Linked DNA regions of Saccharomyces cerevisiae S288C. Each later gene encodes a partner of the first gene's protein in a complex. Each region holds a gene or a part of one and is shown in the gene's direction. Other genes may lie near its edges.

Region 1 (3,396 bases):
AACCAGTTGCTTTATTGGTCTCTGCGTCTACCCTCTTGGACCTAGTAATACATTGAATACTATCAAAGCTTGCAGGTGATCGGAGAGTCGCATTTATGGTTTCATGCGGTGATATATAATTAGAAGGACGGTCATTAAAATGTGCACTCCTCGTGCGCACAGCAAAGTTATGCAGTGGGTAGCACTTTCGAGTTTTCAAATTAAGCATTTTGCTGTCTTCGTAAATGTTTCCTGGAATATTTCTGAGGCCCGCGATACGGCTTAGCCTATTTATTTCCATAGACACTCCAGGGCTTTTGAAGCTTTCTGATGGATTTAACTTTTTCTCCTTTTCGTTTGTCATGAACGGATTAAACTGGGCAATATCTTTAACCTGGCTACTCTTGCTGATTTCATTTTTTTTTACTGGATTACTAACTGTCGCAGAGCTTGTGGGCGGAAACATATACTCTGTTGAGGAGAAGCTATTCGATATACCACTATCTAGAACGCTCCCGATCTTTGTGCCCTGAATTTCAGCGTTTTTTTGAAATATATTTGATGTTATAGGTTGTAGTGAGTTTTTCTTGACGGCGCAGCACCTCTCATTCAAAGAACGTGAGTTTCCATCCATACGTTCATCATAAGTTGTAGTTTCCTCCTTCGTGCCTAAAACTTCATCATTAATTAGGTCAATATTAATTGTGCCTGTAACCAAACTGCCGCTATTCAAAATCGATATTGGCTCCACTGCACATTGTTGAGATTTACTGTTTTTAAGATTCGTATGGAGATCGCTTAAATTGGTGTGTCCATTTTTTGATGTGTATGCATTGGCAGAAACATTCCTAGATGTAAGAATATTCTTTTCCTCATCCATGACAAGAAAGAGCCGCATTCCAGGTTCATTTTGTTTCCGACGTTTAGGATCGGGTATGTGTTGACTGTTCTTATCAAAGTAATTTTTCTTATCACTCTTTTCAATAACCTTATTCTTACTTATAGTTTTAGTATTCGATAATTTGCTAACGATAGCAGTATTCTTACTCTTTGGAGTACAAATGTCGGAATCCCTCGTATTTTTATACCGGTATTTTTTATGATTAGATGCTCTCTTCGCAAATTCACAGGCAGTTATCAATAGTGCTAAATTCAAAGTCATTGGGAATGCACAATTTTCCAGTTGCTTTTGCAACTGTGGCTCCAATTTTGTGAGGAATAGATCCAACGCAGCACCAGAAGACAGATAATATGGAGTTAGACGTCCCGATTTATGGGCAAATGCTTCTAATGACTTCTCAGAATCAATGGACAACGTCAATAGTTCCGTAAAAATTTCCCTTCTTAAAGATCTTGCTCCATCAAATTCTTCTGATAGTAGAGCAAGAAATTTTTCAAAACTGTAAGCCTTTATCACATGGTCATCGATTCCCTCCGTTGTAGAATCAAACCATGTCTTAGCCCGGCCGGATAATGCAGAGCTTATAAGAAGTTTCAAAAACGTTCCTGTACAGCATAGTCCAAATAAGATATCTGTAATATCATCGGCCCATTGGACGAATATATTGTTATCATCACCGTCTTCAGCACTGAATTTTTTCAGATGACTCACTTTATCTAGCATTTTGAACGCTTGTTCATCGTCATCAATCTGTCTTGTAACACAAAAATTATTACACGCTATGGGCAAAGTTTCGCTCCTCTTTCTACGTCCACTGTGTCCCTTCTTGCTTCGCGGCGGCAGGGTATTTCCATTAGCTATTGTATCACTATAGTTATTAGTTCCCGACTCGTATGCCATGTTTTTGGATCTCATTTGCACCATTAAGCAAAAAGAATCTGTTGAACGAGGACCCTAACCCAAGACAGCTAATATACTGCTTTTTTATGACATTTTTCATTTGGTCTTCATTCTTGCGCATCTTCTTTGAGAGTTGAAATTTCTTTGATACTTCGGCAATTACAGAAAAGTGCAAGTTACAAGCAATAAAACCAATAATATTTAGATACTGCACAAAAGTCTAAGAAAATAACCTCATTAGAAGCTTGGAAAAGGAAGAAGGACATTGCGCACCATTCAAGAAGAAGATCTTAGAATTCTGAGAAATGAAGATACAAACAAATGCTGTAAACGTCCTTCAACGGACGTCCGCTTACTTGAAATCAGGATTGTTGAAAGAAACACCTGCGTGGTACAACGTTGTAGCGTCTATCCCACCATCAACCAAGTTTACACGTGAACCTCGTTTTAAGAATCCTTCCAATGGACACATCATAGGAAAACTTGTTGACGTAACAGAACAACCGCATGCCAACAATAAGGGACTTTACAAGACAAGACCCAACTCGAGCGACAAAAGGGTGGGCGTGAAAAGGCTGTACAGGCCACCTAAACTAACATACGTTGAGGATAGGCTCAGATCGCTCTTTTACAAACAACATCCATGGGAGTTGTCGAGACCTAAGATTTTAGTGGAAAACGAAATTGGTGATGAAAACTACGATTGGAGCCATATGCTTCAGATAGGAAGACCACTCGATGGTGAAAGTGTTATCCAGCGAACTATGTACTTAATCAAAACGAAGCAGTATGGGGACATGGTCGAAGCATATGACCATGCCAGATATGAATTCTATGCGTTGAGAATGCAAGAAGAAACAGAGCAGCAAGTGGCTTTGGAAGAAGCGGAGATGTTCGGATCCCTCTTTGGAGTTTCTGCCATTGAACATGGTATACAAAAGGAACAAGAGGTCCTAGACGTCTGGGAAAAGAAGGTAGTTGAAGAAACTGAACTAATGGCAGCAAGGACAAGTAACCCTGCAGGGTCGTGGAAGGACGACACTACATTGAATACGGCGCAAGAAGAAGAATCCACCACTTCCGAGAACCTCCACTTCTAGGTGGGCTGCCTCTTTTCTCCAACGTCACCTAACCAACCTGTATATAATTAAAAACAAACGAGAACAACACATGTAGTGCTAAGTAATTGTCGTTCTCAAATTCCACCTCGATTTTTTCAACTGCACTGAAAATTCCCACTCTTTTTTTTTTTTTTTTTTTTTTTTTTCACTTTTTTCCCGTGGAAAAATATTCTTAAGATGACTCTAATTAGAGGAAAGAACAACAAGAAACTAAACTGGTTCTACAGTTATATAAGGACATCTTAACTGATTTAGAATTAGCTAAGACTGTATCTATGCGATTATTATATTAGTGCGACATATTTATATAACTAAGATAGTAACGCACTCAAAAAGATGTTTAGATCTGTTGCTACTAGATTATCTGCCTGCCGTGGGTTAGCATCTAACGCTGCTCGCAAATCACTCACTATTGGTCTTATCCCCGGTGACGGTATCGGTAAGGAAGTCATTCCTGCTGGTAAGCAAGTTTTGGAAAACCTTAACTCCAAGCAC
Region 2 (2,952 bases), on another chromosome or scaffold:
AATAACATGAGCATTGGGAGAGCTCAAGTTTTTCAAAGAGTTCATTGTCTTGGTAGCCTTATATTCTTGAACTAGGCCAATGAGCACATTGACCGCGATAACAAAAGAAATAACGCCACCAGTAATCCAATCATGCATGGCAAACGAGATTATCATGGATATTAGAAGGACCATGATCATGGCATTACATACCTGATGGAGGACCATTGCCTTGTAATCAATTTTAGTGTCATCACCCAATGTGTTCTCACCCACTGTTTTCAATCTGTGGACGAACTCATCTTGGGTCAAACCTTCAGTTAGACTTGTGCCTATGAATTCAGCGGCTTCTTCTGCAGTCAGCGTGTGATAAGCATTGAATTCTGCATTATTGTTTTCCTTAGTAGTTCCTTCGCCCATCGAAAATTTTCAATTCTGTGTACGAAGTTTTTTCTTTAATTAGTAAATATACGTATTGTTGCCTCAAATAAATGTGAATTAAGTGTGAACAGTTCACTTGATGAAGATATCTGCTTTATTAAAGTTAATATTAGAATATAAATGATTAGACTATTACTAATGAGAAAAGAAAGATAGGAGAAATAGTAGAAATTAATAGTACTCTAAAAAGAAAGAACGGAATAAGAGGAAAAGACCTTTTATCTATTCAAATTGTTTCCCTTAGGTATATATATATATATATATATATATATATATTTTCCCTGTATATATCTATGTAAATGACGAAAACGCATGACATTTTAAAACCTACCCCGGGTTTGACCACAACCCACCGTTCATCTAATATTAACCCGCACCCACCAAGGAAAGAGGCAATAATTCGGGAATACTGCTCTAAGACCTTGTTTTTTCTTCTGTCAGGTGAAAGTATATGACCAAAATCTACATCCCTGCCCTAACAAACGTCATAGAAGTAGGAAATAAATGATGAGCCCCGCAAAATGACGCCGCACGGCGATGTTTAAGACCCTGTACTCACAATGTAACCACTTCGTGCAGAAGCTTCTGGGAGGAAAGGGTCCGTACATGAATTATCACACCCACACCCCTCATTCAATCCTTCTACCGCGCATGGTAATCAATCATAACAGGAAGCGATAAGAAAGTTTACATTGCACAGCCACCCTCATTGCCTCTGTGATTGAAGATCTGGGAGTGGGGCTAAAGGTGCAACTTCCGTACAAGAGTGACGAGATAAAGGATTTTCCACGGAATGGCTGACAAAATTCGGGGCTTGTGTGAGTTCCACGTGCGGATGACTTAATAAGCTCAGTGATTGTACTTTTGACATGATTGATGAACGGCTAGAGATAGCCACCGAGTGGCTACTTAGTAATAACCAGCGTAGGAAACAATTACGGATTTTGTTATCGTTCACCGATAACCCTAAAATATTGACCACACTGGTAGTCATTAGAATTTAACCAAGAGGGTAGCTTAGTTCGACCGATAATCAATATTACTGAAGTCTTATCAAATTCTGACTCTTGCCATACCGTTTCTTATCGTCACTGTTTAATCCGGAAATTAGTCATGTATCCACACATCCTTTATTAACAGCAGAGAGATTGGGCAAGAATGTTAGCAAACTATGTACCAGGCGGGTAATACCTGTACATCTATTTTCTTTTGAAAAGGAAAAAATGCAAGAAAGGGCATGAAATGAAACTATTTGGTACAAATTAGAATTATGCGAACCGTGCAAAATCAGAAAAGGGGGAAAAACATTGGCCAATGCTTAGAAATACCATTGCATTAAGATCATTTATCAGAACACAGTCGACGCGCCCATATCCTGTAAATGTAGAGGCAGTCTACTATGCTCCTTTAAAGTTACCTATCAAATATGGTGATTTAGTTGCAGACATTCAGTTAAGATCGTATGACAATGAAAACCTCGATTTTTATTCAGACTTCATACTTAGAACAGGTTACTATTTGGGTATCCCATTGACAGGTCCTAAACCTTTGCCCACGAGAAGAGAAAGGTGGACTGTAATAAAATCACCTTTCGTGCACGCTAAATCCAAAGAGAATTTTGAAAGACATACACATAAGAGGCTCATTAGGGCCTGGGATACGAACCCCGAAGTGCTACAGATGTTGATAGCTTACATTACGAAGCACTCTATGGCAGGCGTCGGAATGAAATGTAACTTCTTTCAAAGGTCCGAAATATCGCTGGACTTGGGTTCGGACGCCAATGGCCTCGAAAAATCACTAAGCAATATCGATGAATTGTATTCTCTGAGAAACGATGATAAAGCTCAAACTAGTGCTGTCGGACAAAAAGTATTGGAACTATTGGATAGCCCCGATTTTAAAAAACATTTGGAAAAGAAGTAAAAAGATGATGGCAATCCTATAATTACGCTGGTTCTTGGGACCGAAAAGATTTCGTACTTGTAAATAAAATAGGTGAAGAAGAGGGGCAAAAAGTAGTAGATTAAATGGTTATACTGAATTTATAAGTAAGTTTAATTATATTTTTTAACTATATGATGAACAATTTTGTACTAATATTGCGGCCCGTTATGAGTATTGCTCTTGCCATAAAAGTGTGTTCACTGCTTTGTTTCCTGGTACTGCATACCGCTTAATATTGTTATCGCTCAATAAATTTAGTTTCTGGAAGCTTTCCAAGGACTTACCAGGTAGCGGGCCTGAGAATCTATTTTTTAGTCCATCGGCTACAAAAATCGGTAGTATATTTGTTCTTGGTAAGTAAGCTTTGCTAAAGGAAAGTGTCCTTTTTCTGTTTGTATTCTTCTTCGAATTCCACCTGAAATGTTGGACATTCAGGGATGTGTGTAACCGATACTTCTGGTCAGAGAGTTTGTATACAATATACTCCGCTAATCTGAAAATGGTAAAAAATAATATAAAAACATTCTTGGTAGCAGATATGGAATCTGAATTCATATTGAGAAAGTTTCGCTCAGTACTCCAACT
Region 3 (2,803 bases), on another chromosome or scaffold:
AGGGTTATCTCCCGAGATTAGAATGCTCGATCAAATCAGAGTCTTGTCAAGAGCTCAAGAAGTGCCACACGAGGGTGGGTTCTCGGACCTGCTTTGGTCAGACCCTGACAATGTAGAGGCTTGGCAAGTTTCCCCTCGTGGTGCAGGATGGCTCTTTGGCAGTAAAGTTGCTAGAGAGTTTAACCACGTTAATGGACTGAACCTTATTGCCCGGGCTCACCAACTGGTTATGGAGGGGTTCAAGTACCATTTTCCTGAAAAGGACGTTGTAACCGTGTGGTCCGCGCCAAATTACTGTTATAGATGTGGTAATGTCGCGAGTGTAATGAAGGTCGATGAGGATCTGGAACCTACTTTCAAAATTTTCTCGGCTGTTCCCGATGACTACATAAGAGAATCCACGGCAAACCATAATAATCAAAGAGCCGGCTATTTCTTATAACACGACGGCATGCCCTCCCTAACTCGACGAATAAAAATAATTTTCACAATAAAAAAAAGACTACAAAAATCAGAAACTTTTTCATTACGCCATTTGCTACGATACGATACACAACAAGCACATTCTAAGAGCATTCCATTTACTATGGTCAAAATGACCAAATAAAAAATTAAAAAAAAAAAGAAGGAATGAGAACTAGTAACTACATATTCAACAATTGCAGTTTTCTTTTCCTTTTTGTCCTTGTCCTTTCTTTCCTATTTATATATATATATATATATATATATAATACTACTATGTTATATTACATTATATTATTATCACAATAATTATTACGTTCATCGTGCCGAAACGTCACCTCCCACGGTTTGGATCTATTGAAAGAGGGTGGAATCCCTGATAATAAAAAAACTTTAATCAACACTCGGGAGGGGAAATATAAAAGACTGGCGCTACTTAAAGAGCTGATTCGCCAAGGCAGAAAAGCATAACCATATTAAATCTTCTCCTTCAAAGCTAGCACGCCTTCCAAAATGACCCACAGCTTGAAAGCTCTATTCGCCTTGCTATTTCTTTACACAGCTGCTGTCAATGCGGGTGTGATTGGCATATTCAACGCCCTTCCCCCACCAAACACCAAACCAATTAACGGCGAATCTCCACTTTACCAATGTGACATTCTAGACAAGCAACTTGTGGAAATCAAAGAGGTCAATTTGGACCCTAACCCTCCTGTTCGTGGCGAAAATTTGACTATTTCTGCTAACGGTGAGGTCTTTGAAACTATAGAAGAGGGGGCATATATCGACGTTGAAGTCCGTCTAGGATACATCAGACTGTTATCCCAGACTTTTGATTTGTGTGAAACATTAGAAGATAACGATATCGAAGGCTTATCCTGTCCAATTGAACCGGGTGAATACAACATTAAGAAAATAGTTGAGATCCCAGGCGAGGTTCCACCTGGCAAATATGTTGTTGTAGCAAGAGCTTACACTGAAAAGGATGATCTGATCACTTGCTTAACCGGAGAAGTCATCTTCCCACCAAGGTGATCTGATTCATACAACTCATTGATCCGTGTTTATTTCCCTTCTCGTTCCATGTATTCTTTTCTTTTACCCCATGTTCTCTTCACCCGTTCGAGGCAGGGTTTTTCCTCTTTTTGTTATAACCACCATCTAGTCGAATGTGGTTACTCTTAATATTTTTTTGTCGGCCAATGCTTCAGCGCCTTTGTCAACACCTACTTCTTTTCCATTCCTTTCCTCTAATTAAAAATCATCTATTTAGTGTGTACGTATTAAAAACATGTCATTACATTGATATCTCATTGCAAAATTTCTCCCTTACGCACATCTTTGGTTATTATATATGATGACAGGTTCGTTCTCCGGGTAATGCGGACTTTACATATTAATTCTTTTCCCAGTATTTTAGGCAGAATATAAAAGCTTTGAGGCTTTAAGTGAGACAAAAGTCTTACCATAGCAACACGAGGGCTCGCCGAAACTTCCATCTAAAATAAAGAGTGCCCATTAATGTCCGGAAAACCACCAGTTTATAGATTACCCCCTCTTCCCAGACTAAAAGTGAAGAAACCTATCATTAGGCAAGAAGCGAACAAATGTCTTGTTTTAATGTCAAACTTATTACAATGCTGGTCTTCATATGGTCATATGAGCCCTAAATGTGCTGGCTTAGTAACGGAATTGAAAAGTTGCACTAGTGAAAGTGCCCTCGGCAAAAGAAACAACGTTCAAAAGAGCAATATTAACTATCACGCCGCTAGGCTGTATGATAGGATCAACGGTAAACCCCATGATTAATTTTATATCCAAAAGCAGCAAGAATGAAAACTTGATAATATTAAAGTCATGGCCTTGTATATACAAATTAAATAGTCTCAACGGAAAATATATAAACTTTTAATCTAATAGTAACATCAGCATTTTATTTTCTTTCCTCCGTTAAACCGTACTTAATTCTTGATCCTGCCTGCTCTCTCTAAAGTGTCATCAACCAAATACCAGCCAGGATAGTAATTGTCATGGTATTTGCTGAATCTTTCCTTATCCACCACGGAAATAGGTGACGTGTTTATAGCGGAACTACGTTCGCCTTCTGCGTCCTTGCCAAATGCATGAATGATTTCCCATTCAAAATGCAAGGCTGGATTATTGGAGTCCTTTCTCAAGTGTGGGTTAGGCAATGAGTTGTTAATTCCGCCGATTGATGTGAAACCTTTACCATATAGTCCACAAATTGGCTCATTAGAATACAGTAAGAAACTCCATATATTGGTTAAGTCCCAGTGTAAGAGAGGTTGCAACCTCATAAAATCAGGCCAGTTAGAATCTG
Region 4 (2,440 bases), on another chromosome or scaffold:
TACATAAGGAGGCTGGTTTGAAGTTCATTGAAATATTTGTTGATGTTCCATTAGAAGTCGCTGAGCAAAGGGACCCTAAGGGTTTATACAAGAAAGCTAGGGAGGGTGTAATCAAGGAGTTTACAGGTATTTCTGCCCCATATGAAGCGCCAAAAGCTCCAGAGCTACATTTGAGAACCGACCAGAAGACGGTTGAAGAATGTGCTACCATTATTTATGAGTACTTAATCAGTGAAAAAATCATCCGTAAGCATTTGTAATTTGACCGATTACTGTACATTTAATGATATATAAAAGATGTATATATATAATATAGAACATATTTATTCGAGGATTCATTCGAAAAAAAAAGAAAACTTTAGTGACGAGATTGAGTAAAGTGAAAAACTGAACAAATTTTCGGAAGCCTTTTGATTCTAAGTGCCTACTTTGATATCAGTAGTTGATGTATTATAGTATAGACCTATTATTCATTAAATATACTCAGAGCGCTCAAGTCTGCTTCTTCAAAGTGTTCAACCGAGCTTGCAAGTCATCGTCAGGATTACCGTGAAATTCTGATCCGGCGCCAATAGGTTCAGGAATCCCCATCGCTGTTTCTGCGATCGGCGCATTAGAAACCAGATTTTGAGGCGTGCTTTGCAACTGTGAATTCAAATCCACTCCAATCTCATCAAGAACTTTATTTACAATTTCGTCAGCTTCTTCGTCTTCATCCACCTCATCACCCATGACGTTATCAATAGCTTCGTCCATGAATTCCTGTCGTTGACCCATCAAATCACTCTGCTTTTCAAACTCCATCGATATCCTTTGCAACTGAGGTAGATTCATTGTTCTGTTCATTCCAGCCAAAAGACCAGTGGCCTCGCTCATAGAACGTGTCATTTGGTCACTACTTCGAACGGCCTGTATTCTCAATGATATCGCCTGAAGTTGAGCTTTCATGTTGTCAAATTTTTGGATGTAATTCCGGGTTCTTACTAAATCTTTTGCTTGAACTTTCGCAGCTGCAACTTGCCCATTCTTTGCCGATTTTTTAATTTCTGATACAAGTTTTTTATCTTGTAGTTCCAATTTTCTCTTTTCTCTTTCAAGCTCCCTCTGAGTCCTTTCTAAAGCCCTTTGATTCTAAAAACTCAAATAATTAACGTTAGTATGTTCACTAAAATAACTGATCCAAATACAGAACAACATACTTTTTTTAACCTCTCTTGCGGAGTGACATTCTTTCCAAATACCCACTCAAACAAACTCATTGTTTAACGTTCTGTGTCCAAGGGTGAAACAATCAGCCTTGAAGTACACTGGTCACAAATACGCTTCAACTGAATACGCATAATTCGAAAGGATGATTTCTGATTAGGAGGAGACGAAGTCCCTTTAATGCTGATTTTATCTATCTTTTCGCAGTTATCATCTAACCCGGAAAAGTTTCAACAAGACTTTAGCCTTTTAATGGAAACTCCCACTAGTTCAGCTTAAACAAAATAGAAAAGCTTCAACAGAGGAAAGAATAACGCAAAACCACCCTTTTCACTAAGATGCTTTATGAGCTGATCGGACTTGTTCGCATAACCAACTCCAATGCGCCAAAGTTGGAAGCAAAAGAATTGTCTTCCACAATCGGGAAACTGATTATTCAAAACAGAGGTGTGGTGAGGGACATTGTACCCATGGGCATAAGGTATCTTCCTAAAATAATGAAGAAAGACCAGGAAAAACATTTTCGAGCATATCACTTTTTAATGCTGTTTGATTCATCAGCTGCGGTACAGTCTGAAATTCTAAGAACTTTAAAGAAAGATCCCCGTGTCATAAGATCATCCATCGTTAAAGTTGATTTAGATAAGCAGCTGGATAGAGCCTCATCGTTACACCGTTCTTTGGGGAAGAAGTCTATTTTAGAATTAGTGAATGAAGATTATCAATCCATTTAGGTATAGCGCACAGGTTTTGACTGGGGACGCTACAAACACATGTAAATACATACATATCTTTCATACACATATAATAAACAAAGCAGGAAGAGCATTCTAAAAGCCTCACTTAACATAGACACCATTAAAAGCCACCCATTTATTTCAAAAATTTATAAAATTCTAAAGATAATCAGTGGTATGTGATTAAATAAACTACATGTATATTATGCTAAACGACAATCCTGACTAAGAAAAAGAAAGAAAAAGATATATATTTATATGTATCTACATAAGACCAACCGTATCCGTAATTGCAGATAAAATACTCATTAAGCCCTCTTTACACCTAGTGACGTTATAGACGTGGCGGACGAACGAGAAACAGAAGTAGATCCATCAAATAACGAAGGGCTTACACTGGGTTCATCAGTCATATTAAGATCAAAGTCAAGTTCCAAGTTGGACAAAGGGACACTTTCGATATCGTTTGAATCTGCAGCCAATGGATCACTCTTTGA

What was found.
Region 2: RSM25 (region 1) and RSM10 share a complex: the UniProt entries of both Saccharomyces cerevisiae proteins name them as parts of the mitochondrial small ribosomal subunit.
Region 3: RSM25 (region 1) and MRP10 share a complex: the UniProt entries of both Saccharomyces cerevisiae proteins name them as parts of the mitochondrial small ribosomal subunit.
Region 4: RSM25 (region 1) and MRP17 share a complex: the UniProt entries of both Saccharomyces cerevisiae proteins name them as parts of the mitochondrial small ribosomal subunit.

Annotation. Positions count from the first base shown.
Region 1 is NC_001141.2:187,474-190,869, reverse strand, and holds RSM25 (mitochondrial 37S ribosomal protein mS23 RSM25), read left to right. Parts: upstream 1-2,085; coding exon 2,086-2,880; downstream 2,881-3,396. Other genes in the region: YIL092W (uncharacterized protein), read right to left, coding at 1-1,804; LYS12 (homoisocitrate dehydrogenase), read left to right, coding at 3,238-3,396. UniProt on the Saccharomyces cerevisiae protein: Component of the mitochondrial ribosome (mitoribosome), a dedicated translation machinery responsible for the synthesis of mitochondrial genome-encoded proteins, including at least some of the essential transmembrane subunits of the mitochondrial respiratory chain.
Region 2 is NC_001136.10:538,069-541,020, forward strand, and holds RSM10 (mitochondrial 37S ribosomal protein uS10m RSM10), read left to right. Parts: upstream 1-1,734; coding exon 1,735-2,346; downstream 2,347-2,952. Other genes in the region: Na(+)/Li(+)-exporting P-type ATPase ENA1, read right to left, coding at 1-399; YDR042C (uncharacterized protein), read right to left, coding at 2,533-2,952. UniProt on the Saccharomyces cerevisiae protein: Component of the mitochondrial ribosome (mitoribosome), a dedicated translation machinery responsible for the synthesis of mitochondrial genome-encoded proteins, including at least some of the essential transmembrane subunits of the mitochondrial respiratory chain.
Region 3 is NC_001136.10:370,265-373,067, forward strand, and holds MRP10 (mitochondrial 37S ribosomal protein mS37 MRP10), read left to right. Parts: upstream 1-1,983; coding exon 1,984-2,271; downstream 2,272-2,803. Other genes in the region: type 2A-related serine/threonine-protein phosphatase SIT4, read left to right, coding at 1-442; NPC2 (sterol transporter), read left to right, coding at 976-1,497; FAD1 (FMN adenylyltransferase), read right to left, coding at 2,424-2,803. UniProt on the Saccharomyces cerevisiae protein: Component of the mitochondrial ribosome (mitoribosome), a dedicated translation machinery responsible for the synthesis of mitochondrial genome-encoded proteins, including at least some of the essential transmembrane subunits of the mitochondrial respiratory chain.
Region 4 is NC_001143.9:436,597-439,036, reverse strand, and holds MRP17 (mitochondrial 37S ribosomal protein bS6m MRP17), read left to right. Parts: upstream 1-1,544; coding exon 1,545-1,940; downstream 1,941-2,440. Other genes in the region: MET14 (adenylyl-sulfate kinase), read left to right, coding at 1-260; ESCRT-III subunit protein DID4, read right to left, coding at 493-1,131, 1,200-1,259; AUR1 (inositol phosphorylceramide synthase), read right to left, coding at 2,252-2,440. UniProt on the Saccharomyces cerevisiae protein: Component of the mitochondrial ribosome (mitoribosome), a dedicated translation machinery responsible for the synthesis of mitochondrial genome-encoded proteins, including at least some of the essential transmembrane subunits of the mitochondrial respiratory chain.